Linked DNA regions of Elephas maximus indicus. The protein of the gene in region 2 interacts with the protein of the main gene of each other region in a pairwise test. Links are inferred from orthologs where the notes say so. Each region holds a gene or a part of one and is shown on either strand. Other genes may lie near its edges.

Region 1 (16,148 bases), on a different chromosome or scaffold from region 2:
AGGAACTGGCTATCTGCGGCAGGTAGCTCTGACCTGCACAATTGCGGTAATACTATAAAGGAACTCCTAACTGTAGACGAAAGTAGGCTCATTAAAGACGTGCCTTTTGAACTGTGAACATGGAAGAGTAGGGCACAGAGGTAGGGGAAGAGAGGGGCTGCCCCACAGAGGGACTCTTCTTCTAGTCTCCATTATACCCTCCTCCTAGCCCAGTGTGTCAAACAGAGTGCTTAAGAAACATTTGCTAAATGAATAAATATCTTCACTGTCTTCGTTCAATGCTTCTTCTGTTGGTCTGTGGACTATTTTATTTTTTATTTATGTTTACATATATAATATTTTTAAGTGTACAATTCAGTGGCATTAATTACACTGACCAAAACTGCTGTCAAGTGGATTCCAACTACAAACTGCCCCATAGGGTTTCCAAGGAGCAGCTAGTGGATTCAAACTGCTGACTTTTTGGTTAGCAGCTGAGCACTTAACCACTGTGCCACCAGGGCTCCTTACATTGACAATTAGTATTTATTTCCAAAACTTTTTCTTCACCCCAAACGGAAACTCTGTACCCCTTAAGCAGTAATTTCCCATTCCCCCAGTCCAGCCCCCTAGCCCCTGGTAACCTATAATCTACTTTCTGTCTCCATGCATTTGCCTTTTCTGGATATTTCCTGTAACTGGAATCATCTGATATTTCTCCTTTTGTGTCTGACTTATTTCACTTAGCATGTTTTCAAGGCTCTCCCATGTGTAGCATGTATCAGAACGTCAGCCCTTTTTGTAACTGAATAATATTCTATTGTGTGTATAAGCCACATTTTGTTTATCCATTCATGTGTGGATGGATACTTGCGTTGCTTCCACCTTTTTGCTATTGTGAATAATGCTGCTGTGACTATTGGCGTACAAGTAAGTATCTGTGTGACTCCCTGCTTTCACGGTATATACCTAGGAGTGGAATTGCTGGATCATACGGTAATTCCATGTTTCAATCTTTGAGGAACCGCCAAGCTGTTTTCCAAAGTGGTGTTCATGGATTTAAAAGTGAAAATTTTCCTAAGCTCTTTTACCTATAACTTTTAGATTTGTTCCATTCCATGCGGTAGACTTTCATGACAAAACAATGTGATGCTACTTTCCTAAAGACACTACGCTAGAAGGCCCCAATCTTTTCTCCATTTCATCTGCAATGAGGCCTTCAACACCTAAGAAAGATACAATTGATAGTATCTATTGAAAAGAAAACTGAAATTCGTGCATAACAATAGCTGCCCAAGCACCTTCAAGATACAAATAAGGGTGCCCTTCCTCCTCCACCAAGCCATCTTTTAGGTATTAGTGTTTGCTGTGGGCATTTGGGAGCCCTGGTGGCAGCAGTGGTTAAGAGCTACGGTGAGCTATGGCTGCTAATCAAAAGGTCGGCAGCTCAAATCCACCAGCCACTCCTTGGAAACTCTATGGGGCAATTCTACTCTGTCCTACAGGTTGCTATGAGTAGTAATCGACTCAATGGCAATGGGTTTGGGTTTTTTTGGTGGGCATTTGAGGTGCCAGGAGAAGGTACTATTGCTGTACCAGGGCTGCAGTCTCTGGTTGTACAGGTTGTTCACTGCACAAGAGCTCCTGACAGAGAGGCAGAGGGGGACTGAAATCCAGTCTGCACTCCACTCACCAAAGCCATGCACCCAGTTGAAAGGTATCTTTTTCTATTTGGCACAAATACATCAGTGAGACAGACAGATAGCTGTCATTGAGTTGACTCCGACTCATAGCGACCTTATGTACAACAGAACAAAAGGTTGCCCAGCCTTGTGTCATCCTTACAATTGCCAGTATGTTCAAGTCCTACACAGCAATTATTGTGCCAGTCTATCTCACTGGGGGTCTCCCTCACCCTTCCTGGCCCTCTACTTCACCAAACATGATGTCCTCCTTCTGTGAATGATCTCTCCTGATCATGTGTCCAAAGCAAGTGAGTTGGACAGTACTCTGTTGTGATCCATAAGGTTTTCATTGGCTAATTTTCAGGAGCATGTCACCAGGCCTTCCTTCCTAGTCTGTCTTAATCTGGAAGCTCCACTGAAACCTGCCCACCGTGGACTTGCTGAAATTTGAAATACTGGTGGCATAGCTTCCAGCATCACAGCAACACACAAGGCACCACAGTATGACAAACCGGCAGATGGGTGTTGGATGCATCAGTGAGTATGGGCTAACTGCAGCCCTGTGCTCTCTGCTGTCATCATTTTGCCTCCCTGGCCAGGGGAGAGGGCAGTGCCAGAGAGTCACCGGAGTGTTCCTTCAAAGGAGCTCCTTCATTCTCTTGAGCTTCAAAACATCTTTTCAGAGGATCCTTTCTAGATGTTGATGGGTGACTAACCCACCACTGGAAATGCGTAGGTGGAGAATTACCTTCTGCCAAGAGACGTCTGAGTTCTCCACGAAGGCAAAGTAAGGTGAGTTTAGTCTTTCATCCCTCTCTTGGCCGTGTGATTACCTCTTCTGCCACTAGATGGCAACCTCACCCAGATACCGGAAAAGGACTAAAAATAAATAAATAATAACCCATTGCCTTCCAGGGTATTCCGACTCATAGCGACCCTATAGGACAAAGAACTGCCCCAGAGGATCTCCAAAGCTGTAATTTTTTCAGAAGTAGACTGCCATATCTTTCTCTCATGGAGCGGCTGGTAAATTTGAACCGCTGACCTTTTAGTTAGCAACTGAGTACTTAACCACCGCGCCACCAGAGCTCCTTGGAAAGAGACCTCTGAGGACTGAACTGGAGAAGCGAGAAAGTTGGGACTCAGGGGTCATGTGAGTGAAAAGCAGTTTAGTTTAATCCAGCATCTTTATTACGTGATTTTGAGTACTTTGTCGTCCTGTCATGCAATTGTAGCAAATGGAACAGCTCACAGTTTCCTAGTGGTCATCAAGATCACGAAGAACCTCTTCTTTTCTTGAGGGTCTCCTTCATCAATCCTGTTTCAGTCTGCTGATGTTTAAACCCTGGAGACACAGGACAAACCACAAGGAATTCAGCACACTGACACCCGTGAGAAACACTGACCTGTTAACCTGTTTCCATAGGGTCAATTCCGACTCATAGCAGCTGCACCATAGGGTTTCCAAGAAGCGGCTGGTGGATTGGAACTGCTGACCTTTAGGTTAGCAGCCGAACTCTTAACCATTATGCCACTAGGAAGCCTTATTGATAACATAATGAGATGTTGGCTTAATAAATTCTGATTTGAGGCAACCAATAGCTATTGATCATTTTGAGTCTTTTCTTTTTTTAATTGGGGCACATTTTACATACAATTAATGTAATTAGAGGTATGCCCTGGTAGAGCAATGGTTAAGCCCTTGGCTGCTAACCAAAAGGTCGGTGGTTCAAACTCACCAGCCACTCTGATGTAGAAAGTTGTGGCCATCTGTTTCCATTAAGATTACGGCCTATGAAACACTGTGGGGCAGCTCTGCTCTGTCCTGTAGGGTTACTGTGAGTCGGGATTACTCAAGGGCAATGAGATAGCGTTAACTAACCACCTTCCCCACTATTCAATTTTCCAGTTGTCCATTCTGGTATCCACTTTCTTTTTTTAACCTTCTTCCTTTGCTTCTTTGTTTTGCTGGAGCACATCATTTAAAAGCTTCTTAAGAAATGGTACAGAAAGATGAATTGTTTGAGACCTTGCGTGTCTGAAGATATCTTTCTTCTACCCCCATCCTTGACTGACAGTTTGGATGAGTATGGGAATCTGTGTTGGAAATAATCTTCCTTCAGAATCATGAAGGCATTATTTTATTGTCTTCCAGTTTCAATTGTTGCTGCTAAGAAATGTGATGTCTTTTTTTTTTTTAATTGTGGCAAATATATATGTAACAAATCACTTACCTTGTAAACATTTTTCACATGTGCAATTCATTGACATTAGTTATCATGCTGTTCAATCATTGGCTTTATCCGTTTCAAATTTTCTATCATCCTTAACAAGGGACCCTCTTGTCCCTTGTCTCTTATCTGCCCCCGGCAACCACTAATAAACTTTGGTCTCTATACGCTTGCCTAGCCTAGATATTTCATATAAGTGGAATTATATAATATTTGCCCCTTTGTAACTGACTTATTTGCACTCAGCATAATATTTTCACATTTCATCCATGTTGTAGCATGTAATAGGACTGCATTTCTGATGCCATTTTAATTCTTTTTTTTATTATGCTTTTAGCCAATGTTTACAATTCAAGTCTCTTTCTCATACAAAAACATAAACGTATTGTTATGTAATCCTAGTTGCTCTCCCTACAATGTGACGGCACACTCCTTCTCTCTACTCTGTATTTCCTGTGTCCATTCAACCAGCTCCTGTCCCCCTCTGCCTTCTCATCTTTCCTCCAGACAGGAGCTGCCCACATAGTCTCATGTGTCTACTTGAGTTAAGAAGCACACTCCTCACCAGTATCATTTTCTGTTTAACAGTACAGTCTAATCTTTGAAGAGTTGGCTTCAGGAATGGTTTTAGTTTTGGGCTAACAAAGAGTCCAGGGAACATGACCTCTGGGGTTCCGTCCAGTCTCAGTCAGACCACTAAGTCTGGTCTTTTTACTAGAATTTGGGGTCTGCATCCCACTTTTCTCCTGCCATTTTAATTATTGATCTTTTGTGTGAAATCTCAGTTTTCTCTCTGGATGTGTGTGGGATCTTGTCTTTGTCCTTGGTCTTCCGAAATTTTGTCATGATGTGTCTTGGTGTGATTCCGTTTTTGTCCATTGTGAGGGCTCAGCATGCACTTTCAATCTGGAAACGCATGTCCTTTGGTTCTAAAAGAATATAATTGAATTATTTAATTGATTTCTTCCCCTCTGTTTCTCAGACCCCTTGAGTTGGTTTTCTGATTTCCTAATCCTTTCTTACCTTTTTCCCTTTTGCGTATACTTTCTGGGATATTTCCTCAACTTTATCTTCCTACAACTTTACTGAGTTTTTTGGTTTTTGCTATCATATTTTTAACTTAAAAGAGCCCTTTTTGGTTCTCTGAGTATTCTTTTTTATAGTATCCTATTCTATTTTTAGGGGCCCTGGTGGTACAGTGGTTGAGGCCTTGGCTGCTAACCAAAAGGTCAGCAGTTTGAATCCACCAGCTGCTCCCTGGAAACCCTGTGGGTCAGTTCTACTCTGTCCTATAGGGTTGCTACGAGTCAGAATCGACTTGACAGCAATGGGTTTTTATTTTTATGGCTGTAACAACTCATTTCTCAGAAGAGACCAATAATAGATCTTGCAGGGTTTTCATCTTCCCATAGAGATTGTTTCTTCCCAAGTCTCCTTTTTCCTGTTATATGTTTTGGGTTCTATTTTTCATGTCAGATTCTCCTCTTAAATTCCAATGACCTTTGGCTGTTTTGCTCTTATTGAAGAATGAGTAGAGTTGCCATATTTAGCAAAACAAAACAAGAAAAATGGGATATCCACTTAAATGTGAATTTAAATAAATGACAAATAATGTTTTTAGTATAAGCATGTCCCACGCAATATTTAGAATATACTTCTAGTATGTAAGCATTTCATATTTTAGTAAAAAAAACCAATTTGTTGTTTATCTGAAATTCAACTTTAACTGAGCATCCTATATTTTGTCTGGCAGTTCTAATAATGAAATCTAAAATCCTAGCTGGAAGCTCTGTGTGTCTGAAGTGGGTAGGGCTTGACAACTGTGAATTCACTAAAGGGGTGTCCCAGCTGGGCTCTGAAACCTGTTGCCATGGAGTCAGTTCCGACTCATAGCGACCCTACAAGACAGAGTAGAACTGCCCCATAGAGTTTCCAAGGAGTGCCTGGCGGATTTGGACTGCTGACCTTTTGGTTAGCAGCTGTAGTAATTAACCACTATGCCACCAGGGCTCTATTGTTGAGTAACTGATGACAACATCTTTAGGTCTTTCCTCTCAGATTCCCCAGAAAAAAGTATTCCAAACTCCCCGTTCGAGCAAGTATAATCCTGGCTACCAGTGTTCGGGGAGCCAAGTGGAGGGAGAATACTGAACAGCTCAAAATTCATGTTAAGTTTCCTGTGGCTCTTCAGTTCCAGGACAGTTCCTCCAGCCTTGTGTGGTAGATTACAGACAAATTATTTGCTACACCTCCCATTCAGGGATGGCACCTAATTCCCCTTCCCTAGAATCTGGGCTGGCCTTAGTGACTTGCGTGACTTACAGAATGTGGCAGAAGTAATGCTCAGGGGTTTCCAGACTTAGACCGTAAGAAGCCTAGTACCCTAGTAGCTTCCGCTTGGGCCTCTTGGAATCTTCTTTCTGGGAGCCTTGAGCCTCTGTGTAGGAAATCTGACTACCTACCCCAAGACTGCCATGATGAAGAGGGAACATAGAGGTGCTCTGGTTGACTAGACCATGCCAGCTGAGACCAGCCTCCCAGGCTTCCCTGCCATGTTCCCAGACATGTGAGTGAAGCCTCCAGACTAGCCCATGTGCCCGCTGAATACCCTATATGAGACAGAAGAATTGCCCAGCTGAGCCCTGCCCAAAAATAGTGAGGTATAATAAAATGGGTACTGTTTTAAGTCATTGAGTTTTGGGGTAAGTTGCCAGGCAGTCTTAGAAGCCAGACTGCCTTGACTACACCTGGTGACCCCCATTCCAGAGATCTCTGTATCCTGTCTAGAGATTACGCCTGCATCTCCTGCTGGAGTAGGAGGGGGCAGTGGCAGCTGTGCAGTGTTGGGGAGGGAATCTAGGAGCCTGACTGTTTCTGTAAAGACTTACAACAAATCCTCCTATTCCCAGTCTTACCTATAAACCCATTTTCAGAAGTACCCGTTACGGCAAATTCCTGCGTATCTTGGGGAGTTCTACAGCCAAATCACATTGCTTCTCCGCTTTCTCTACTCCTGGCTTAGGAGTTAGCTTTCTCGGGTCTTCTAGTCAGTTATCACCTGTCCATCTGCTTTCTGGGTTCCAACATCTTGTTATTTTCCCCTCTCTTTTTCCCTTGTCCTTGCAAGATATTTTAAAAAAATCTGCTATTGCTTAATGGGATTTCTAGAGGGAACTGAGGTGAATTTATAGGTTCATTCTGCTATCTTTAATTTAAAGGCTCCTTCGAGTCTTTCATTTCAACCATTACATTAATTTTTAAAATACCCTTAGATCGTGTTCCCCAGAAGCAGGAGCCTGAGCAAGTGTCTCAGTGAGCGAGTGTTCTCAGGAGAAACCTGTTAAGTAAATGAGGGAAGTAGGAGTGTGCAGGGGAAGAAGCCGAGCCAAGATGTGGTTTCTGCTGAAGTTTAGCCTCAGTCTGATCCCACAGGAGCTCTGGAGTATGAAGGACCTACAAATTTAGTCCTGGCTATTTGTAAATGCTCAGCTGCTAACCAAAAGGTTTGAATCCTCCCAGAGGTGCCAGAGGTGCCCCAGAAGAAAGGCCTGGTTATCTATGTCTGAAAAATCGGCTACTGAAAACCCTACGGAGCACAGTTCTACTGTGATGTACATGGGGTCACGATGAGTCAGAACTGACTCAAGGACAACTAGTTTTGTTTGTGTACTATAAATGTTAGCCTCTGGCTGTTCTCTCCCCAACTTCATCTGAGGGCCTTTCTCAGGAGAAGGGACTAGCTGGGGAGAGGGGGTGCACCTGCCTAGTAAAGGCGCTGTCAGCAGGGTGCCAACAGCCTCTGCTGTATTCTCTAACTTGCATTTTTTTTTTTAGTGTTTTTGTTATTTTTAAGGGATAAAAAAGTTTCTCATTTCTTTGAGGAAATGAATTATGCTTATTTCATTTTATTCTATTGCTTGCCCTTTGAATTTTGTTTCTTCAAAGTCAGTTCATAAACCGAGGCCCAGAGAAACTTTTAAGTTATTTGCCCAAGCTGAAACATAAAAGATCTTGAATGCAAATCGGTCTGATCCTAAAACTATGTTTCTAAACCATGCTAAACCACCTCCTTTAGCTACATCTTAATGGAATAATTTAATGCTACCACTCCGGTTTTAAGGGGGCAAATAGCCACTTCGAATTTGGTCTGTTGGACAGCAAACACACTCTCAAAAGCTACCTATCCTTTGTTAAATAAAATTGGAATTTGCTTGTAGACTCAATGGACTCGTTCTGCAAGCCTTCCCTGAGCACCTACTATGCGCCTGCAACTGTAATCGGCGCGGGTGCAAAAGTAACCCAGACCCAGTCCGTACCCTCAAGGAGCTTGCCCCGGGTAGAGGAAGCAGATACAGACTGTATTCGTATTACTAAGGGCGCGCGCTGCACTAACGCAGAAAAGGGGAGCTACGCACCAGTATTGTTGTTAGTCGCCCTAAGTCATTGGGTCTCATGACCATAACCATGTGTGCAAAGTAGAACCGCTCCATAGCATTTTCAAGACTGTGACCTTTTGGAAACAGATGGAAAGGCCTCTCTTCCTATGCGCCTCTGGATGGGTTCGAACCGCCAAACTTTAGACTAGGCTAGTAGTCCAGTGCTTAACTGTTCGTGCCACCAGGGACTCCCGACAAGTGCTAAATCATACTGGTTTATAGGTGAAGAGAGAGAGAGAAGATCCGGGTTAGCTCCTACCTCTCCTTCCCAAAGATTTCCTCCGCCTGCTGGGCACATAAGAAAAGTCTCTTTCCTTCTGATGTGGAACTGCTAGAAACTTTTTGGAATGTTTGTTTTAATGTGAAAGAGTGAAATGAAATGTGCCATTGTGATTTCGCTCTCCACTTTTCCGCCGTGAGCCTACGGGCGAGACAGACACCGCGGTTTCCCAGGAAAGAAGCTTTGATTTACGGCGACACACCAGCCCCAGGCTGAGCTGGGCGCGGCCGGTTGGCGAGGAGCGGGGGAGGCCGCGCGTGCGCGGCCGGTGGACGGTGTGGGGCGCCCAGGCACCGAACACCGAAAAGTCAAACTTCCTCGACTCCGTGCGGAGAAAAGGTGCTGGGCGGCCCGGGAAGGAGAACGAGACGAGGAGCCCGCACGGGGAAGTGGCCGCCGTCAGCTCCAGACCCACGCCCGGAGGCGAGGCCACGCTCCCACCGCGCCAGGCGCGCACTCGAGGTCCGAGGCTCCAGGTGCGCTTCGGCCTGGGAGGGATTTTCCGGTCCCGTGAGCAGAGGGACAACCAGGAACTCGGGCTCAGTCTCCACCCCGAAGTGGGGCGGGTCCGGCGGGGATAAGACCCGTTGCCCGGCCCTGACAAGGGTGTGACCTCCTCGGCCTCAGAGGACGAGCTCAGCCCCTTTCGGCACCGAGCGGTAAGGGGTGGCCGGCCGGGGGTGGGGGTGTTCTGGGCTTGGAGACGGGGTGCCGCGGCCCGAGAGCGCGTCGCGGAGATGTGCAGCCCAGCGCCGCGCCCAGGAGGGGTTGCCCAGCGCGGCCCGATCGCCCCGCGGACTTGCGGGCGGGATTGGGGCGTCCACATTGGGCCCGGGACGCGCTGCTAGTGGGCAAGGGGGGGACAAACACGGACTGTACCCACAGGTGGCAGCAAGAAAGGTGTCGAGAGCACTTTATATGCCCAGTTAGGGCCCACCGCAGTTATTTATGCACATGTACCACACAGCGTGCTGGGCTCGGACATTAAAAAGAAAAGATTCAATTCGTATTCTCTGGATCTGCCGCAGGCTAACGTCTAAGTTTTACTTTTTAATTCCTTCTTTCCTCCTTTTAAAAAACTCTACCCATTTTTCCTAGTTTCTTTCCCCTGTCTTTCCTCACGTATCTGATACCTGTAACAGTGCCTGGCACTTGAGAATCTTTCTTTGTTGGGAGGCCCCGGACTCTGGCTCTTTGGTCATGGCTTTGACCAGCTGGAGGCTTTGGAGCCCAAGAGGCTATTGCTTTTCAACCGTCTGCCTGGCTTTAAGTGTTGCCCAAGTTGATGCAAATCTCCTGTGAGTTGTTTTGAACATTTTGAGTTCTGAGTAACCCACGCCTTTCAAGAAAAATGGAGAACTGAAAGGACTTGTGCCCCCTGGAGCTGACAGTAGGAAGGATGGATAGGGCCCCCTCCTCCAAATTATCCATTCCAAGGGCCATCAATTCCAGGACTCCCACGTCCCCTGACATTGCAAGTTACTCTGTTGATAGCCAAGCACTAGTTCTTAAAAGTAGCCAGGGAATTCTTAGACAATAGAGAGGTGAAAAACAGGAGAGGAAGGGGGCAGGAAAGAGGACCCCACCCTGTGGCTGAGTGAGACCTGCTTACTTTCCAGAGCCCTATCTGGCCAAGGCTGGATCCCGGGCATTCAGCTCAGGTCGGATTTCTATTAATCTGGGGATACACACACCCTTACTGGATCAAGGGCATCTATGAATTTTCCCTCCTAAATGTTGTTGCTTTTTTAATTTTTCTATGAAAGCAATTTACGGAGTAAAGTGCACAGAAAAATTGGGCCACACCAGCCTCGGCATTTGGAAGGTGAGCCTCCTGGTCATCCCCAGACTCATGTCACGTAGCTAGCGTTCCTTTGCTTATGTCCAGCCACTCATTTGTTTTTCTGATCTTGCTCACCTAAGGAGCTTGTAGACTAAGCCTGCTCTTCTCCCACAGAGGCCCTGGGGATGGTAGGCAGTGTGCCAGGGAGGACCTGAAACAAGGGAGCATTTTCCTGGGTGTCAGTTTTGCCGAAATTGTTGAAGATAACGATACCTTTGTATTAAAACTATCACAGATACATTTTGGCGCTGAATCTAAAATTTGTATACCTTTTTAACATAAAACCAGAAACTGCAAAGAATTTTTGCAGTTTGGCTTAAACCTAGCCCTTGAGGATTTGTTTTCACTGCAATTAGGGCTACTTGTGGACACCAGTTTGATAAGTAGTGCAGTGTCCTCCCTGAAGGAACTTCTGATAACGGTCATTCTCACTTCAACCTGAGGCAGCATCGTTAACCTTGTTTTGCAGATGAGGAACCCAAGGCCCAAGCTGTGGTCATTTGTCAAGGTCAGATCATGTATAAACTGAGGCTCAAATCCAAATGCTTGGTGCTAAAGCCTGTACTCTTATCCTCGCTGCTCTACTGTGGCCCCATCAGTGCTTGGTTCATAGGGCCTTGGGGTTTAGATTTGTGCTTACCAGCTGATTAACTAAATCTTGATCAAATGTTTTTCTTTTCCCCTTCAACTTTGATCTTATCAAGCCTCAGCCTAAGCAGGTAGATGAAACACTGACACGTGAGATGTGGTTAAACGAACTGGAGCTATTTAGATGGGAAAGAGAATACTACAGTGGGTGTAGTGGCACACGGTACCCCTTGCCGTCGAGTTGATTCCGACTCATTGGAACCCTAAATTCTTGAGGGGCTTGGCATGTGGACAGAGAAATAAATTCACTCTGTATGGCTTCGGTGGGGAGAGCTAGACACATTGGGTAGGAGATTTTTGGATCGTGGGTTCTTATTGAATTTAAGGAAGTGGCTTTTGATGTGGCCTTGGAGTCTTCGAGAGCTCTCTCACAAGAGGTGTCTAGAAAGAGGCTGGCTGTGACGGGTAGAAAGTTATACTAAGATGACTTATAAGCCCATAGCTCCCAAACTTCAGGATGCATCAAAATCCCCCCTGCATGTCCAAAATGCAAATTTTTGCCTCATCCCCCCAAATTCTGATATTGTGTGACTGGAGGGGGACCCAGGAACATGCATATTTAGCTGGCTCAGACTCACCTTGTCTTGGTCATCTAGTGCTGCTATAATAGATATACCACAAGTGGATGGCTTTAACAAAGGGAAGTTTATTCTCTCACAGTCCAGTAGGCTGGAAGTCTGATTTCAGAGCGCCGGCTCCAGGGGAAAGCTTTCTTTCTCTGTTGGCTTTGAAGGAAGGTGCTTGTGATGTCTCTGAAGTCTTCCCTTGGTCTGGGAGCATCTCAGTGGAGGAACTTCAGGTCCAAAGGAAGCGCTCTGCTCCCGGGGCTACTTTCTTGGCAATGTGAGGTCCCTTGTCTCTCTGCTCACTTCTCTCTTTTATATCTCAAAAGAGATTGGCTTAAGACGCTATCTTTTTTTTAATCTTATAGACCTCATCAATGTAACTGCCACTAATCCATTTTATTACATCATAGTGATGGGATTTACAACACCTAGGGAAGTCACATCAGGCGATAAAATGGTAGACAATCATACAATCATAAAAGGGAATCATGACCCAGCCAAATTTACAGATATTTTTGAGGGACACAATTCAATCCATAACACACCTCATAATTTTACAGTGCTTAACATCTATAGACCAATAGGGAGCCCTGCTAAAGGTTTTTTAATTTGTTTTTTTAACTGAATTGAAACTGAAATGGATTACTACATTAAGATTAATTTCCCTAGGGATTTAGGATTTCTATCTAAGGCCTGCTCTTGGTTTTATCGGGAGTTACTTGTTAGTGTTTGGTTGTGTCTGAACAGGACTGAGAGCTTTTGCTATGGGAACCTGAAACACCACCTTTGAAGAATTCTTTTTAACGTTTCAAGTTGTTTGAGACCAATGAATTACCGTACTGCTTCTTGGTCCAGAGGGCTTGACACACAAACCAGAGTGACTGTTATACCAGCAGTCAGCAGCAGGGATAAATTGCAGCTGATGTCCAGACCGCAGACGACTATGGAAAAGACCTTCCATTTCCCCCCGGAACCGTTAAGGCCTAGAGACAACACAGAGCATGAGCAGTGTGACATGGAACCCAGTGGCAGGCACCCTGAGTGGGCCTTTGTCAAGTCATCAGAAAGGCCTCTTGCTCAGTCACCGTGTCTTCATCCCTCTGAGTTAGCTCACTCACTCTGCTGGAAAGGTAATATATTAAATTATTACCAAAAGCTAACTTAGAGGGACCTTGTGTTTACTCAGGAACAAATTCTCCTGAATTTCTTGTAATTGAGCCGTCTGCCTTGAAGGAGGTCCTTTATAGATAGAAGCCTGGTGGTGTAATCAGTCTTCAGCATCTTCCCTAGGCAGGCATTTTCTGGGACCTGCTTAGCTTCAGCTTCTATTTTTGCTGCTTTTTTGATACTTTTGAACTCAGTGGTCCTCACCCTTGTTAGAATCACAGACTTTTTTGAGAATCTGATTACAGCTATGGATCGTCTTTCAAAATTAAATAAACAACATACATGTTATGGTTTCATGTAGTTTCAAGGGGTTCACAGACACCCCCCAAACCCAATCATGGATACCAAGGAACAACATAGACACCGTGTTAGGAGTCCTGAAATTTGGCAGCGCTGATCACAGTTTTTATAAAATGCATTTCCCTTTGTTTCAGCAATTTCAATTCTAGGTGTTTATCCTGTAGATACACTTGGACGTGGGTGTAGATGTTTACAAGGGTGTGTACGTTGCAGCCTTGCTTATAGTAGCAAAACATTAGAAGGAACCTAAATATCTACCAGCAGCCTGTTACGGTCCAGTCGATTCGTCCATGAAACACAATATTATGCAGCTGTGAAAAAATGGTGCAAATTCCTAGGAACTGATACTGAATCATAAAAAAAAAAAAAAAAAATTTTTTTTTTGAATCATATTTGAGATAAATTGTTTTTTTAAAAAAGCTTTGCATGATATGCTATCATTTATGTATATAAAAATGATAGAGGCTATGTATATATTTTTATATGCTTATTTATACATGAAATACTTCTGGAAGGATACACAGAAAAATTCTAGCAGTGGTTGTTTTGGGGGGCGTGGGGTAACGTCTTACAGATTTATCATTATGTATGTTTTTGTACTATTTGAATTTTTATCATGTTTGTTTTATTATCTATTAATTTTTTAAATAGAGAGCTGCAGATAGCCACACGCTCATTTAAATTGCTTGTCAAGAGAGAAAATAAGACAGAAATGAGGAATGTATAATTATCAAATCCTCCAACCTTAAAATTAGTATGTGATCATATAGTTTCTTATTTGCATATAAAGAGTTAACAGGTGTAGTTTTGCTTCTGCTTCTAATGAGATGAGATAGCAGCTGCTCATTCTTGCCACACATTTCAGTTGGGGTATTTATTCATTGGCGTACCTCAGCTTGTTCCAAAAAGAATGTAACCGAATCAGAAAACCAAACCTGTTGCCATCGAGTTAATTCCGACTCATAGGAACCCTATAGGAGAGAGTAGAACTGCCCTATAGGGTTTCCAAGGAGTGGCTGGTGGATTCAGACTGCCATCATTTTGGTTAGCAGCCGAGCTCTTAACCATTGTGCCATCAGAGCTCCAAAAGAACGTAAGGAGCGTTGAATTAGATGGTGGGGAAAGCTCTGTTAAATGGTCTGATTGATTCCAGCATTACTTTAGCTGCAGAAGCAGACAGTGGAAGTAGGTGGGATAAGTCAGGACCTGTCAACTAGATAGACCTGCTGGGGCAGGGCCCTTTATCTAAGAAAGTTCTAGCAGTGATAGCAGGTCATGGGCGCTGAGGGGCCTGGATCCCATTCATCACCCCAGCCGTGGCTTAGTTTATGAGGGCTCTGCTTCTCTGCGTGCTAGAACCTCCATGCCGCAGGTATTAAATAATCATGAGCCTGGCTATGCCAAGCGCCTGGCATGTTATTTTCACCCATATGAGTGGGTGTTATTATTATCATCTGCATTGTATAAATAAGGAAACTGAGGTACAAAGGAGTTAAATAATTTGCTCAAGGTTGCATACCAGCAAGTAGTAGAGTCAGGATTTGAACTTGGCAGTCTGATTCTGCATGTCGTGTTCTACCACTCTGTTATATTGTATGTTGTTGTTGTGTACCATTGAGTTGATTCTGACTCAAAGCAACCCCATGTGACAGAGTAGAACTGCCTCATAGGGCTTTCTTGGATGTAATCTTTATGGAAACAGATCACCAGATCTCTCTCCCATGGAGACGCTGGGTGTGTCCGAACCGCTGTAACTTTTCAGTTAGCAGCCAAGCGCCAAACCATTGCACCACGAAGGCTTCTTGTTATACTGTATAATGGGTTAAACGTGGGGAATCAGCCAGAATAGGCAGTACTGGGAGATTAAGCTGACCATGGGGCTGGACTCTTTCAGAGAGGAAGAGGTGCAGTCTATATCCAAACCACTTGTCCAAAATGAACTTGATGTTGACCTGGGTCATTCTAGGGGGTCCCAGCTGTTGGTGAGGCATGAGAAATGGAGATTAAGCCAAGACAGTGTGCTGCATCATGATTCTGGTAGCTCATTCCTATGGGAGAAAGACTCAGAGCAGGATCTAAAGGAAGGGGAGACAGCTCTGCATCTTGAGGGGAGGGTCTTCTGGAGCTAGGTAAACCAAGAAACTCAAACTTGTTGCCGTCGAGTCAATTCAAACTCATAGCAATCCTATGGTATGGGGTAGAACTGCCCCATAGGGTTTCCAAGGAGTAGCTGGTGGATTCGAACTGCCAGCCTTTTGGTTAGCAGCTGAGCTCTTAACCACTGCACCACCAGCTAGGTAGGATGTCAGTAAACAACAACAAAACTCAAACCAGTTGCTGTTGAATCAGTTCTGACTCATGGCAACTCCATGTGTTTCAGAATAGAGCTATGCTCCATAGGGTTGGGAATGGCTGTGATGTCAGTGATTCCTGCCACATGGACAAAGGTTCATTTAATTTTACAGTGTGGCTAGCACTAGGAATTCAAGGATGAAACACACATCCCCAGTAAATCAACAAATCAAAAATCACAGGACGTTATGAAGGGCGATTGGCTACACTATCACATACTGCCATGGACTAACAAAGGAGGGGCACCTACCTCCATTCTGGATGGTCATAGAAGGCTTCCTGGAGGGAACACCTTTACCTTGAGGGTAGGGTAGGAGAAGAAGGGCTTATCACAGGCAGGGAGATGAGAAAGCAAGACATGGCACACTGGAGGAGCAGGACGAGTCCCAGAGGGCAGAGCTAGAGTGCTGTCAGGAACTAAGGCTGTTCTGTAGGTCTCTGGGAGCCAGGTCAGGTCAGTACTGGGGGACAGGTCCTAGGAGGTACAGGAATCCCATACTTTGGCATCTACCTCAGTGTATGGCACTGTTACTTAATGTTTTTGAATAAAATGGATGAGAGCTGGGTGCTAGGCAGAGGTTTAGCCTTGGAGAAACAAGATGCCCTGCTTCCCTGCCCTAAACCTGGCCAACTCTTGAAGGATTTCAGCTTGGACATAGTC
Region 2 (16,288 bases):
GTTCTTCCCTTTTGGATTTCTAACTCCAGGTCTTTGTACACTTCATTATAATACTTTACTTTGTCTTCTCAAGCTGTCTTTTGAAATCTTCTGTTCAGCTCTTTCACTTCATTATTTCTTCCAGTCGCTTTAGCTACTCTACATTTGAGAGAAAGTTTCAGAGTTTCTTCTGGTACCCATTTTGGCATTTTCTTTCCTTCCTGTCTTTTTTGCCTTCTTCATGTGTGATGTCCTTGATGTCATTTCATAACTCATCTAGTCTTCAGTCATCAGTGTTTAATGCATCAAATCTATTCTTGAGATTGGCCTCCAAATTCAGGTGGAAACTCAAGGTTGCATTTTGGCTCTGATGGACTTGTTTTAATTTTCTTCAGCTTCGACTTGAACTTGCATATGAGCAATTAATGGTCTGTTCCTCAGTCACCCCTTGCCTTGTTCTGACTGATGATATTGAGCTTTTCCATTGTCTCTTTCACAGATGCAGTCTATTTGATTCCTATGTATTCCAACTGGTGAGGTCCACGTGTACAGTCACCATTTATGTTGATTAAAAAGAGATATTTGCAATGAAGAAATCATTTGTCTTGCAAAATTCTACCATGCTATCTCCAGGATTGTTTCTATCACCAGGGCCAAAATTTCCAACTACTGATCGTTCTTTGTTTCCAGCTTTCATGTTCCAATCACCACTAATTATCAATGCATCCTGATTGCATGTTTGATCAATTTTAGACTGCAGAAATTGGTAAAAACCTTCAATTTCCTCATCTTTAGCGTTAGTGGTTGGTGGGTAAATTTGAATAACAGTCATATTAACTGGCCTTCCTTGTAGGGATATGGATATCATCCTATCACTAACAGCGTTGTACTTCAGGATAGATCTTGAAATGTTCTTTTTGATGATGAATGCGACGTCATTCGTCTTCAGTAGGTTGAAGCTTTACACCCACACAAATGCACACACAGGGCTGTACACAAATGAAGAATCACGCAGACTTCTACTTCTGGGGTTATGGCAGACCAGATACTCTGAAGGACATTTGTCTTAAAAAATAACTGAATCATGAATACAATATGCTTTTCAAGCCATTGCTTAGATCATAAGGAGTAAGGGAAATATCTAAGGAATCCCTTCTCTGTGCATGCACATGTGCACACGTGTGCATGCACACACATACACACACACACACAGAGTAGTTAAACTAAAGAACACCAAAGATGAAAAGAAGATCTTAAAGGAATCTAGAAGGAAGAGTCAGATAATCTATAAAGGAATATCGATTAGGTTGAAAGAAGGCTTCTGAACAGCAACAATGAAATTCAGGAGACAGTTGAATGGTATCTTCAAAGTAGTTTGAAAAACTGATTATTAATCTAGAATTGTGAACCCACCAAAACTTTTAATAAAGACATTTCAGATGAGCAAAATTTGATATTTTAAAACCAACAGACTTTCACCAAAGCAACTTCTAAAGACATACTTTAGGAAGAAGATTTCTGACACCAGAAATATGATATGAGGTAAAAAGAAAATTTGTGAGCAAATAAAATGGTAAATATTTTGGTAAATCTAAACAAATGCTGTCTATATACAAGAAAGTTATAAAATATATTTTCCAAGGCAAGGCATACATGGATCATTTAAAATATTGACCCAAACTTGGCCAAAAGGTAAATTTCAACAAACATTAAAGAACAGGTAACAGATAGAATAGGTAGCATATTCTTTGATCACAACATAACTAAGTTGGAATTCGTTAACAGAAAGTATATTTTTCAAACCCCTTTACCATACATTTGGAATTTTAAAAACCAAGCTTGTAAATAACTCATAAACCAAAGGAAACTTAGTAATGGAGATTAAATAATAATACTTAGAAATCAAATGGGTGGGTGTAAAAGTGGTACTTTGTGCCTTAAATGCTTATGTATTTTTTTAAAAGACCAAAAGTTAAGAAAACAGGGTGTAACCTCCCCAAATAAAGAAAATAAATATAGCAGAAATCTATGAACTAAAAAAACTAGAAACAACTAAATCAACAAAGCCAAAAGTTGGTTCTTAGAACAAACTAACAAAACTGACATATGTCTGGCAAGGCTGATCAAGAAAAAAGAATGAGGAATACAGGAAAAGCCATCACTACAGATAAAGCACATATTTTGTAAGTAGTTGATAAAGGTAAACAAGAAACCCACAGAAAGCATCACAGGTAATAGAGAAATTTTGTAAACCTTCCCTTAAGGTCAGGGACATGACAAGGATGCCCACGATCACCACGGTTTCAACGGTGTACAGCAGATTCCAGCTCCTCCAGCAAGAGAAGAAAAAGAAAAGGTATAGATTGAAAAGTAAGAAAAATGGCCAATATTTGCAGATAGTATGATTGTCTGCAAAACCTAGAAGAATCTACAGACAAAAGAAAAAAAAGAAATAGTAAGGACTTAGTAAGGTGGCTTATGGGGGCCCCATGCACAAAGGAATGAAAAACACTGCAGAGTCCTCTGCCATATGCACGATCCGTTGTGGACTGGACCTTTGTGATCTGCAGGGTTTTTCATTGGCTGATTTTTGGAGGTAGATTGCCAGGCCTTTCTTCCTAATCCATCCAGTCTGGAAGCTCCACTAAAGCCTGTTCAGCATCATAGCAGCATGCAGGCCTCCAATGACAGACAGGTGGTGGCTGCCATGAGGTGCACTGGCTGGAATCGTAACTGAGTCTCCTGCATGGAAGATGAGAGAATTCTACCACTGAGCCACTACCTCCCAGACAACTACTACAGGACAAAACCCTTTCCTAGAAGAAAATGGGGTCTTGCCACTTAGAGACAATTACTAATATTTTAATGTTTTGCCTTCAGGGGAGAAGTTTTTAAAGTATGTTCTGAAGAACCAAAGAAAGCCAAAGTAGATAAAAAAAGAAAAACTCTTTTCCTCACACTTTTTTTTTCCCCTCCCTTCCCCTGATTTTATTTCGTCTGCTGTCCTCCCTGGCTTGGACCCTCATTCTGTCAGCATAAAGTCAATTTCAAGTTCTTAAATTTTAACAAATGAACACGTATAGAGCATTGATTTATTTCTTTGTGCCAGGCAGTGTTCAAGTTCTTTTCATGAATTAACTTATTCAGTTCCCATCACCACCCTATACCCTGTAGGTATATTATTATCTCCATTTTACAGAAGAGGAAATTGAGGCACGTAGAAGCAGAGTCGCTTGCCGAAGCTTAGCTCTAGGCATGTTGCTTCTTGGTCCAAGAGCCTCCTGTATTTCCACTGTCCCCCACCATGTTTTCCTCACTCTGCCATCAGGTAGGTTCACTCACAGTTCCCCACACCTGCTGAAACGCTTTCATCTTGCAGCCTTTGCTTATTGTCTGTCCTTCACGTGGAATGCTATTCTGCTCTCATTTCCTTTTCTCAGGATCCAACCCAGCCCTTTGATGAGGACATTGTCCTGGATTATCAGAGGTCGGTTCAGTGTGATCACAACGGTCCTTACAAGAGGGAGGAAAGAAGCTCAGAGTCAGAGAAGGAGATGCAATGGTGGAAGCAGAGATTGGAATGTGATTGATGGAAGGAACCATCAGCCAAGGAATGTGGGTGGCCTCTAGAAGCTGGAAAAGGTAAGGAATGGGTTCTCCTTAGCGTCTCCAGAAGGAACGCAGCCCTGCCAATACCTCTGTGAAGCTCATTTTCAGACTTTTGATCTCCAAACGTTAAGATAATACATTTGTGTTGTTTTAAGCCACCAGGTTTGTAGTAATTTGTTATAGAAGCCATAGGAAACTCATACACCCTTGCTCTCTGTGCTTCTCTCGACAGCAGTTCTCTCTCTCCACCTTTGAGAAAGTCCTGCTCTCAACTGACATGATGCCTTGGTTCCTGAAAGGTGGCCGGTAATTAAAAACCACTGGAACCAAAACCAATTCCCTCATAAGAAAAAAGAAAAAGCAAGTGACACGTTCTAGAAAATTTTTAAAAGTCAGCCATGCCAATGTTTGCCTGTCATGAGGATATGAACAGCAAAAGGTGACAATATAGAAAAGTTTATTCTTAGCTAAAATCAGAGAAGTCATGGGGAAGTCTAATTAAAACATTAGCTTCCAACCAGCAGCCACAGTGTCCTCTGCCTCCTCCCTTCAGGAATTCCGGCAGTTGGAATCTTTGTCACCTGTGTTGACACTGCCAATGTGTCATAAGCATGGCATTGCCCAAGTTCTGACTTTCACTAAGGTGAAGCCTGCAGCATGTGGCCAGTTGGTCACCTTTCTCAATGTGACCATTAACCCCTATTTTCACAGCCACCCTATGGGGGGGGGTGTCGTTACTCCTACTTTACAGATGAGGAAACCGAGACTCAGACGGGCGAAGTGACTTGCCCAGGCCACACGGCTGATAATGGCAGGTCTGGGCCTGCCTGCAGCCAAGCCTGAGGTCATGTCCACCATACTGTGGCTGCCTTCCTTGTCTGCACTCGCCCCCACTCTGCTGTACCAGCACTGTGCTCTTCCGCAGGCCAAAACCAAAGAAAAAAAATTCAAACCCTTTGCTATCGAGTTGATTCCGACTCATAGATACCCTATAGGACAGAGTAGAACTGCCCCATATGGTTTTCAAGGAGCAGATGGTGGATTCAAACTGCAGACCTTTTGGTGAACAGCCTGAGCTCTTAAACCAGAGCTCAGTGGTTCCCAAAGCTTGGTCCCCAGAGCAGCAGCATCAGCGTCACCTGGGAATTGGAGTCCCACCAAGACCTACTGAATCAGAAACTGTGGAGCTGAGTCCCAGCAATCTGTGTTTTAGCCAGGGCTTCAAACTGGTTCATTCCAGTTCCAGCACCTGCTGAGAATTTGCATTTCCACCCCAGATATACTGAATCGGAATCTGTATTTTAACAAGATCCGCAGGTGATTCTTAGGTATGACAAATTTTGAGAACCACTGCTCTACTAATGGTTCTCAGAATTGGTTCCTAACCAGCATCTTTAGCATTGCCTGGAAACTTGTTAGAAATGCAAGTTCTCAGCAGGGGTTCCAACCTGACCGAACTGGTTCTAAGCCCTGGTTTAAAGGAGCATTCCACTTGATTCTGATGCATGCAGGATTGTGAGAACTCTGCCCTAGAAGATGCTGATACAAGTTTGTTGCATTACCTTGAACTTGACTGGAGTCTGAGGGAAATATGAAGTGACACACAGGGTGGGATAAAGAGAGCACCACACCTGGGTGTGGGTTGTTATTGCTATTTAAAGCCACAGAGTTGGGAGAAATCAGCCTGGAGTCAACAGACTTCCTGGGCTGGAGGAGAGGAATGCATTAGTCTTACTTGAGGGACCGAGAGGTAATGAAGCAGGGAGGCAGTGGAGCAGGGAGCAGAAGCAGAGAATCAAAGCATTCAGGCCAACAGGAGTTGAGATTCAATATGGTGGGCAATGGGGAGCTGGGGTACGTTCTGGCGAAAGGGAGTGGCACGATCGAATTGTCAGTGGAAGAGAAGGTTCAGAGCCGCGCGAAAGAAATGTGGAGCTGGGAGAGACAGGAAGTAGGAGTCTTGAAGGTCCCTTGAATAATTCAGGGCTGTAGTTCCTGGAGTAGGTGGGGATAAGGGAAGTTGGGGTCCGGATTAGAGGGGCTATGGAGACAAGCAGGAAACAGGCAGACCTGGGTTTGAATCTTATTCTCGCCACTTATGACCCGAGTAAGCATGGACAAGAAAGCATGAATTCCTGTAATAGACACAGTGATGTATTACGAGTGACAGAAACAATCATGGCCATAAACCAGTTTAGAAAAAACAAAACAAAACATAGTTGTGGTTGAGTTGGTTCCGACTGATGGTGACCCTATGTAAGTCAGAACAGAACTGTGCTCCGTAGGGTTTTGGTTTTGTTTTGTTTTTTTAATGTCTTATTGTATTTTTGGTGAAAGGATATACAGAAAAACAGTTTCCCATTCAACAATTCCTACAACCACAGGGTTTCCACTGGCTGATTTTTCTGAAGTAGATCAACAGGCCTTTCTTTGGAAGTATCTTTGGGTAGACTCGATCCTCCAACCTTCTGGTTAGCAGCTGAGTATGTTAACTGTTTGCACCACCCAGGGACTCCAATCATTGCAACCCAAAATAAAAACCAAATCCATTGCCATCAAGGTGATTCTGACTCAGCGAGTCTAAGGACAGAGAACTGCCCCACAGGGTTTCCAAGGAGTGACTGGTGGACTCGAACTGCAGATCTTTTGGTTAGTAACCGAATGCTTAGCCACTGTGCCACCAGGACTCCAGTCATTGCAGTTAAAAAAAAAAAAAAACCAAACCCGTTGTCGTCGAGTCAATTTTGACTCACAGTGACCCTATAGGACAGAGCAGAACTGCCCCATAGCCATAGCTGCCATTTATTATATATTCTGTGCTAGGCACTGTGTAAACTACTTTATGTACAGCTCCATGACAACTCTGTGATGAAGGTACCTTTATTGTTTCTTTTTATAGATGAAGAAACTGAGGCTGGAGAGAACGCATGCACTATTGGTTGAGGGCAACTATGTTCTGGCCCTTTAGACGTGTTGCTTCATTGAACATTCACGGCAGCATTCCAAAGCAGGCACCACTCTCCCCATTTTACAGATAAGAAAACTGAGGCCCCAAGGCACCCTGACCACGGTCACCTGGTCACACAGCTCAGGAGTGGTGGAATTGGGATCTCATCTAGAACCTCTTCTTCTACCAGAGCACCCCACTGAAATGCACCCATAGTTGGTAGCCCAGGAGACAGGGCAGGGGGTTAGGGTTAGGGTTAGGGTTGAATGAGTTATATGTAGGAAATACAATGTAAATATTAGCTATTCTTATGAGAGATATTTAGGGGATAGAATTGACAGGGCTCATGGCCATCTGGAGGAGGAGAAAAGAGGATTTTGAGGCACCTGTGAACTGTGGGGTTCCCCTTCTTTCTGGGGAGAAGTGGGCAGTGCCTCCCTCTTGGCCCATCCCTGGCCATCTCTCTGTCCCCATCTCCAGAGCCAGAAGAAGCACTTGTGACCTTAGCCCACTGCTGCTCAGTGCTGCCCGGCCCCATGTAGGGTAGAGGGCTAGCCTGGTAATGCTGCCAGGGGCCTGGGCTAGCTCCGGCCCCTTTCATTTCCTCTGTATCCACCACCAAGCATCTCATCCTCAGAGCAGTTTGTGGCCTCAAATGACATCAGGCTCTTTTTCTTTTATTCTTCAACCTTTTCGTTCTCCCGTTCCCCTCTGTGGCCCTCGGAGGCCATGCAGATATTTGCTGCTGTTCTCACACTCCCCGGGTACAGGCAGTGAGTGGTACTTTCAAGGAAATGTTCCTGGCTGGGATGGAGGAACCAGGGCTGCCATTACTTTTACTGACAACAACTGTAACCATAACAACCATATGCACTCCCTGAGAACATTCTTTTACCATCTTGTTTTCCCCAGAGTCTGGCACATGGCTTGGCACGTAGTCGGCTCTTGTTGAGTGAATGAAAAAACTACTACTTGACATGTACCTAGCCCTGGCTAAGTGCTCAATAAACGTTTTCACATTTTTTTTTCCCACGTTTAATCCCTACAAGCACCCTATGAATTGGGTATTATCATCCCATTTCACAGATGAGGAAATGAGGCTCAGTTGCCCAGCTAGCCAACAGCAGGGCCAGGTTCCCCACCTCGGTCTGTCCCGTGCCAGAGCCATCTCATCAGGCCCACACTATTATGCTTTGCTGAGTGGTGTGGGGTAACAAAATGTACCTTGAACCAGGTACATTTCAGGAGGCCCAGGTTCTAGCCTTGCTTCCAGGGCATACTTGCTGTGTGAAGTTAGGCAAGCCACAGACCCTTTCTGAGCTTCTGTTGCTTCGACAGTGAGAGAAGACAGGCCCTGATTGACTCATAATAATTCTCTGTGGTGAGGCCCACAGGAACTCATACTCGTACAGGGCAAAGAGTCCACTGCCGTGAGCCTGGGCACCTCCCAGGGCCCCTTAGGTCTTATCTCTCCCAGCTGCTCCCCTGGTTGTGGCTACCAAAGCTTGCACCTGAAGCCTGAGCCAACCACACATTCCTGCATCAACAGGGCAGCCTCGCCCAGCATTCCCAGGCCTGCCCACAGCCCCCCTCTCACCTGAAGACGTCGACCCGAGACTCAGTGCCCAGCACACACACACCATGGGTGGGCTGCTCTGGGGCCACACGGATCACTGGTGCCTGAGCCATTGCCCCGCCAGCTCCTCCCTCCGGCTGCAGGAAGCCTCTGGGCAGGTTCCTTTATACCATCCAGCAGGGGCCATGAGTCAGCGCCTGTGGTGGAGGCCAGCAGCTCAGCCCCTCCCTGTTCACGTCCTGGGCAGATGCTCTCAGCTGTCCTCTGTCCTGGGCCTGCCCCTCAGGAGGCTTGGGGTTCAATGCCAGGATCAGGGGCGGGGCAGCTAGCTCACTCAGTGCCCTGGGAAGCATTGAGGGCTCCGGGGGGCTTACTTCCAAGTGAGGAAGCCCTCATACCCATGGCCCCGTCCCAGCTGGGGGTCCATGACCACCTGGATCCACCCAACCTCGCCTCCCTGAACCAAACAAGGGCATTAGAGAAAAGAAGGAGATACAAGTAGGGAGGGTGGGAGATTTTAGGTGAGAGGTCACAGCTCAGGCTACACATTCAAAGACCAGCCAGGCTTGGGACAAGTCTCCCCAGGCTGGGTACCAACATGACAGCACCTCCTTCTTGAGTGTGTCCCATGTGCCAGGCGCTGTCTGTGCACTTTGCCTGGAATAACTCGTTACAACAAGCTTATGAAGTAGGCACTGTTATTATCCCTTTGTTTCATCCTCACAGCAACTCTCTGAGGCAAGTGCCATTATTATTCCCACTTCACAGAAGAAGAAACTGAGGTGTGGAGACACTACATAGCTAGAAAGCCCTAGAGCCAGGATTTCAACTAAAGACGTCTGGCTCTAGAGTGTGAGATTTTTCAGCTGCCTGTTCATGTCGAGAGTGCTTTTCAGACTTTATTGTATCTACTCCTCACTGCAGCACAAAGTATATATGTACGTATTATTATCACCCATTTTACAGAAGGAAAAATTGAGGCTCAGAGAGGAAAACTGCTTGCCCAAGATTCCATGGCCAGTGCACGGGAGAGCTGGCCTGCACACTCCAGGATGCCTGCCACTTGCTGGGGCCTCTGGGTGTCAGACTAGACAGAACAGGAGGGGACCACGCCTGCCACGGGAACACTCACTCAGCCACAGAGCTGTGGTTGCACCTGGGCCTTTGGTGTCGGGCTCTGTCTGCCAATGGGGTGTTGGGTGAGGAGGGCTGGACAGGCCCCAACAGGGAGCACTCAGTGGGGGGTGTATTCGGGACCTGGAAGGGGCGTAGAGTGTTCTGAGGGTTGGGGATGTTGTATTTTGTTTGCTTTGGCTTCAAAGCAGAGAGTTTGCCTTAGTGAAGAAGAGTCTGACTTTGGGAATGGGCAAGTCTGAATTCAAATCCAGCTTCATGCTAACGTGCCTCTGAGGCAGGTCCTATCATGAAGCTCAGTTTATAGACGAGCCATAAAGGCTCAGAGAGGCTAAATTAGTCTTTAAGGTTCCACAGCCCAGAAAGTGCAGGGTCCAGCTTCCAAACCCCCTTCTCGACGCTCGAAGCCCATTTTCTTTACCAAGAGATAATGCGGCCAGACCTCCTGCCCTGATGTGTCCACACAACTGCTTGCACACAGGAAATCTTAATAAAGGAAAGTTCTTTGGCTGGCCATAGAATTCAAGGTGGTTTGAGCTTCTAATGGAAGGTGGCTGGAGGGAGCTGTCAATTGTCAGAGTTAAGAGGACCCTCAGGGAACGCCAAATCCAGTCCTCATTCTCTAGATGGGGAGACCCAGGCACAGAGAGGGGCCTTGACATTCCCGTGGTAACACAGCAAGGGGGACGGCTTAAATGCCACCAAGTCTTAGGTCTCCTGGGTAGTTTATTTTTTTCCTATGGCAGTTTGGGGTTTACATCGGCTGTGGATAAGCCACAAGGAGGACAAACCAAAAGCAATTTTGTTAATCCAACAAATATTTATTGAGTACCTACTCTTTGCCAGGAAACCCTGGTAAAGTCTAGCAGTTTGAAGCCGCTAGGAGCTCCTTGGAAGCTCTGTGGGGCAGTACTACTCTGTCCTATAAGGTCACCATGAGTTGGAATCGACTTGACAGCAATGGATTTGTTTGTTTTTGCTGTTTGCCAGGCACCCTCTCAGGTGCTGGGGATACACAGCAAATTAAATAAATAAAACAAAGATCCTTGTCTTCATGGAATTTATTTTCTAATGCAAAGAGACAGTCAGTAGGCAATAAATATAATACGTGGGTTATACATTATGTTAGGAGGTCACAGTTAAGGAAAAATGGAGCAGAGTTAGGGTTATCAGGGATGCACGGTAAAGGGGAGACTGCAATTTTAAATAGGGTGGTCAGGGTAGGTGACATTTGAGCAAAGACTTGAGGGAGGTGACAATGTGAATATTTGGGAAAGAATGTTCCAGGTAGAGGGAACAGCCAGTGCAACCAGTGCGTGTCCTGAGACAAGGACATGTCTGGTGGGTTCCAGGAAGAGTAAGAAGGTCACTGTGACTGGGGGGGAATGAGGATGAGGGAGGGGTGAGCAGCAGGAACAGATGAGGGAACAGATCATATAGGGCCTTGGGGGCCTTGTAAGGACTTTGGCTTCTACTTGAAGTGACATGGGGAGCCTTGGGGGAGTTTTGTTCAGAGGAAGAACATGATCTGGCCTCTTTAAACACAATCACTCTGGTTGCTGTGTGAGAGTAGACCATAGGGGGCAGAGGAGGAAGTGGGGAGACCAGGGAGAGATGATAGCGGCTCAGGCCAGGGTGGTGGCAGGGAAGGAAGAGAAGTGGTCAGATTCTGGACATATCGTGAAGGTACAGACAATAGCGTTCGCAGGTGAGTTGGATATTGCTGTTGTTAGGTGCCATCAAGTCAGTTCCCACTGATAGCGACCCCGTGCACAACAGAATGAAACACTGCCTGGTCCTGCACCATCCTCACAACTGTTGCTATGCTTGAGCCCATTGTTGCAGCCACTGTGTCAATCCATCTCATTGAGGGTCTTCCTCTTTCTCGCCGACCCTCTACTTTACCCAGCATGATGTCCTTCTCCAGGGGTTGGATGTGGGCGAAAGCAAAAGAGAGGAACCAGGGCGACTCCAAAGTTCAGGGCCTGAGCACCTGGAAGGATGGAACTGCCATCACCTGGGCTGGGGGAGGCTGGCAGAGGGCAGGCTGAGGGCAGTGGGGAGATCAGGAGTTGGTCCTGGCCATGTCCACTGGGAAATGTTCATTCGAGTAGTGCAGAGACATTCTGTAGAGGGATTGGACCTATGATTCTGGAGTTCGAGACAGAAGACCATGCTGGAAACGAAACCTCTGAGATGTCGGCATGGAGAAGTCGCCTAGGGATGAGTGTGGATGGAGAAGAGAGAAGTCCAAGGAATGAGCCCTGGTGTGCTCCACCAGAGACCAAGCAGGAGTGACCAGACAGAGGAGGACCCAGAGAGCAAGGTCTTGTTATTTGCTATTCCATAGGAGCCAATGAAAGCCAGGTTTATAAACATTTCTTTAAGTATAACATGGGGGAGCCTCTGTCCTCTTTCTGCACACACACACACACACACACACACGCACACACATACATGCACACATGCACACCCATAGTCTTGGGGGAAGCAGCTGCATTTCTGAGGCAGAGCCTCTCTGCAGACCTGCACTCAGCCATGCAGGGCAGGGCAGGGGCAGTGGGCTCTGGGGTGGGCAGGGGTCGAGATCAGTGAAACAAGAGGCAGATGGGCCTGGGGGAGGGGTGCGGGGTACCACCCACTCCAGCATCTCCGATGACTTCATCATCACACAGATACTCCCTACTGTTGGATGTGGGGCCTGTTTGCAAATTTTCAGCATCATAAACGATGCTGCAATGTATTAACAAACCATGCACGTCTGTGGCTATTTGCAGAGACTTTGTGGATTTATCTTTGCATAATCTCGTTGCTACTGACACCTCCATCCTCACCTGGGCCTTCTCTCCCCTAACTCCCCTTACAGCAGACCACCAGGTCTTCTTTCAGTTCCTAGAAAAGGTTCAGGAACTTCTGGGTCTTAGAATCTCCCTGGGCAGCTCCCCTCTCTGGTATTGTCTCCCCATTATGACCCCCATCCTGTCCTGGGAGATGCCTCGGTAGCAGGGATGGTGCCTAAGAGCAAAGACTGTGTAGCCAGATGGCCTGCGTTCAAATCTTGGCTCCGCACACCTAGTTGTGCAACCCTGGATGAGTTCCTTCATCTTCGTGCCTCAGTTTCCTCGTCTGTGATATGAAGATGATAACCATACTTATCTCATGGGATTGGTATGAGGATTATATGACCTAACACATGTAAAGCTTTCTGAACAGTGCCTGGCGAAGGATAAGTGGCTTGTCAGTGCAAATTTAAGTATTTCGGCTTCAACATAGCTTCCTCCAGTGGACGTGCCTGATTCCTCCTTCTAAAAGGTGCTCCTATTCTCCCACAGAGCATTTTGGGTTTTGCCCTTGAAATTTGCCAGTTTGTCACTATGTGTGTATATAAATGTCTGTCTCCTAGCTAGTCTGGATTCTCCGTGTCTTGGTTGCACCCCAGGGCCTGGAACAGTGCTTGGTACATAGTAGGTGTTCACTAAACACTTGTGACTGAATATCATGGCTGTTTGCAGCTCAGCATTTGACCTATGGGTGCGTCCTCTGAGGGCAGCCTCCTGAGAGGATCCTTGAGAGCCCAGCATGGCTGTTACCTTTCAGGAGGCATTAACCCTCTCAGAGCCTCAAGGGGGCCTTGGGGCTGGGGACCCTCTCCTGTCCATGTGCGCAACTGGCTGAGAACCCAAGTCAGAACCTGGAGGAAGGGGCCCCTTTTCCTGCCAAATGCAGAATTACCAGCCCAGCCCCTCACCAGGAGGAAGTGAAGGTGTTTTGAGGGTTGCTCAATGCCCTCTGGGCATTTAGGGCCAGGCCACTGAGCACTGAGCTAATGTCCAGGCACTGTGACTGGCCCAGTATCATCCTGGGGAAAGAAATCAGGGTCCGTAAACACTCCCAGAGACTCTAAGAATGAAGGTAGTGCGGTTGTGTTAAGAATAGATGGCCTAGCCATTCCTTCAGTAAGATTCATTCATTTAGCTGTTCATCAGCAAACCGAATGCCTACTAAGTGCCTGGCACTGTCTATTAAACGCCCCCTGGTTATCAGGGAGTCCTGGTGGTGCAGTGGTTAAGTGTTTGGCTGCTAACCAAAAGGTTGGCAATTCAAATCCACAGCCGTTCCTTGGAAACCCTAAGCGGCAGTTCTACTCTGTCCTATAACGTCACTATGAGTCAGAATCGACAGCAACAGGTTTGGGTTTTGGGGGGGTTCGTTATTAAACAGAGCCCTGGTGGCACAGGGGTTAAAAGCTCAGCTGCTAACCAAAAGGTCGGCAGTTCGAATTCACCAGCCACTCTTTGGAAAATTTATGGGGCATTTCTACTCTGCCGTATAGGGTCACTAGGAGTTGAAATTGGCTTGATGTCAACAGATTTGGCTAGGTTTTTGATTATTAAATGAAGTCTCTGGGTGGCACAGACGGTTTGCACTCAGCTGATAATCTAAAAGTTGGCGGTTCAAATCCACCCTGTGTCTCTGCAGAAGAAAGTCCTAGTGATCTGCTTTCATAAAGATTACTGCAAAGAACACCCCATGGAACAGTTCTACTCTGTAACATGTGGGGTTTCCATGAGTTGGAATCAACTCAACAGCAATGGGTTTGGTTTTTTGGTTTGTTATTAAACACCCAGGTGGCACAATGGTTAATATGCTTTGCTGCTAACTAAGAGGTTGGAGGTTCGAGTTCACCCAGAGGTGCCTCGGGAAAAAAACCTGGTGATCTACTTCTGTCTTAGCTCCTGCTGAAATAACAGAAGGACCACAAGTGGAAGGCTTCGACAAACTGAAGTTTATTCTCTCACAGTCTAGTAGGCTACAAGTCCAAATTCAGGGTGTCAGCTCCAGAGGAAGGCATTCCTTCTCTGTCAGCTCCGGAGGAAGGTCCTTGTCATCGATCTTCCCCTGGACTAGGAGCTTCTCCACACAGGAATTCCAGGCCCAAAGGACACAGCCTGCTCATAGCGCTGCTTTCTTGGTGGTATGAGGTCCCCAATTCTCTGCTCACTTCCCTTTCCTTTATCTCCTGTAAGATAAAAAGTGGTTCAGGCCACACCCCAGGGAAACTCCCTTTACATTGGATCAGGGATGTGACCTGAGCAAGAGTATTACATCCCACCCTAATCCTCTACAACATAATCTAGTCTTGCCTCCTGAACCACAGTTAGAGATTAGGATTTACAATTGTTGTTGTCATTAGGTCCCATCTAGTCGGTTCCAATTCATAGCCACCCCGTACATAACAGAACGAAACACTGCCTGGCCCTGCTCCATCCTCACAATCGTTGTTATGCTTGAGCCCATTGTTCCAGCCACTGAGTCCATCCACCTCACTGAGGGTCTTCCTCTTTTCCGCTGACCCTGTACTCTGCCAAGCATGATGTCCTTCTCCAGGGACTGATCCCTCCTGACAACATGTCCAAAGTATGTAAGTTGCAGTCTCGCCATCCTTGCTTCTAAGGAGCATTCTGTTTTACTTCTTCCAAGACAGATTTGTTCATTGTTTTGGCAGTCCATGGTATAGTCAATATTCTTCGCCAACAGCACAATTCAAAGGCATCAATTCTTCTTCCGTCTTCCTTATTAACTGCCCAGCTTTCACATGCATATGATGTGAGTGAAAAGGCCATAGGTTGGGTCAGGGGCGACTTAGTCTTCAAGGTGACATCTTTGCTTTCCAACACTTTAAAGATGTTCTTTGTGGCAGATTTGCCTAAGGCAATGCGTCTTTTCATTTCTTGACTGCTGCTTCCATGGGTGTTGATTGTGGATCCAAGTAAAATGAAATCCTTGACAACTTCAATCTTTTCTCTGTTTATCATGATGTTACATATTGGTCCAGTTGTAAGGATTTTTGTTTTCTTTATGTTGAGGCGCAATCCATACTGAAGGCTGTGGTCTTTGATCTTCATCAGTAAGTGCTTCAAGTCCTCTTCACTTTCAGCAAGCCAGTTTGTGTCATCTGCTTAACGCAGGTTGTTAATGAGTCTTCCTCCAATCCTGATGCCCCGTCCTGCTTCATATAGTCCCGCATCTCGGATTATTTGCTCAGCATACAGGTTAAATAGGTATGGTGAAAGAATACAACCCTGACGCACACCTTTCCTGACTCTACCCACCAAAACCACTGCCTTCACTCAAATTCCCCGTGTTCTGTCCGAACAACTGCTTCTTGATCTGTGTGCAGTTTTCTCATGAGTACATTTCAGTGCTCTGGAATTTCCATTCTTCGCAATGTTATCCATAATTTGTTATGATCCACACAGTTGAATGCCTTTGCATAGTCAATAAAACGCAGGTAAACATCCTTCTGGTATTCTCTGCTTTCAGCCAGGATCCCTCTGACATCAGCAATGATATCCCTGGTTCCACATCCTCTTCTGAAACTGGCCTGAGTTTCTGGCAGTTCTCTGTTGATATACTGCTGCAGCCGCTTTTGAATGATCTTCAGCAAAATTTTGTTTGCATGTGATATTAACGATACTGGATTTACAATACATGGGAAAATTACATCAATCATAACATAGAGGACAACCACATAATACTGGGAATCACGGTCTAACCAAATTGACACATATTTTGGGGGGACACAATTCAATCCATGACAACTTTCCAAAAAATCAGCCATTGAAAACCCTGTGGAACACAGTTCTACTCTGCCATGAATTGGAATTGACCGGATGGCAACTGGTATGTGCCATACCTGTCACTAGTCCTTTAGCTGTATTATTTCTAATTCTCCCCATGACTCAGTGGGCCAGGAATTATGATCTCATTTCTGCAGAGTGGTGAGGCACTGTGCTCAAGGCCACAGGTTTCTAACCATCTGCATCTGACACATTTCACTTTCTGTGCAGCCCTTACTGTGCCAGGCCCTGATTTGCATCACCCCTAATCCTCGCAGCAACCTTGATGTCTGACCTACACTGTTCCCATTTTTCAGGTGAGGAAACTGGGCCTCAGGAAGGTTAGGCAATCTTACCAAGGTTACAAAGGCAGGAAGTGGTGATGCCTGGCTTTATCTTTGCTTGGCCTGACTCCCAAGGCTC

What was found.
Region 1: the proteins of protein-arginine deiminase type-4-like (region 2) and ANXA4 interact in binary tests that used the Homo sapiens proteins (3 or more experiments, as listed by UniProt). The two-hybrid records come from large-scale screens. The link is inferred for Elephas maximus indicus from reciprocal best matches to the Homo sapiens genes PADI4 and ANXA4.

Annotation. Positions count from the first base shown.
Region 1 is NC_064835.1:66,488,268-66,504,415, reverse strand, and holds the start of ANXA4 (annexin A4), read left to right. Parts: upstream 1-8,688; 5' UTR 8,689-9,087; intron 9,088-9,119; exon of another isoform or gene 9,120-9,270; intron 9,271-16,148. UniProt on the Homo sapiens protein: Calcium/phospholipid-binding protein which promotes membrane fusion and is involved in exocytosis.
Region 2 is NC_064821.1:56,595,453-56,611,740, reverse strand, and holds the start of protein-arginine deiminase type-4-like, read right to left. Parts: upstream 8,256-16,288; 5' UTR 8,225-8,255; coding exon 8,133-8,224; intron 1-8,132. UniProt on the Homo sapiens protein: Catalyzes the citrullination/deimination of arginine residues of proteins such as histones, thereby playing a key role in histone code and regulation of stem cell maintenance.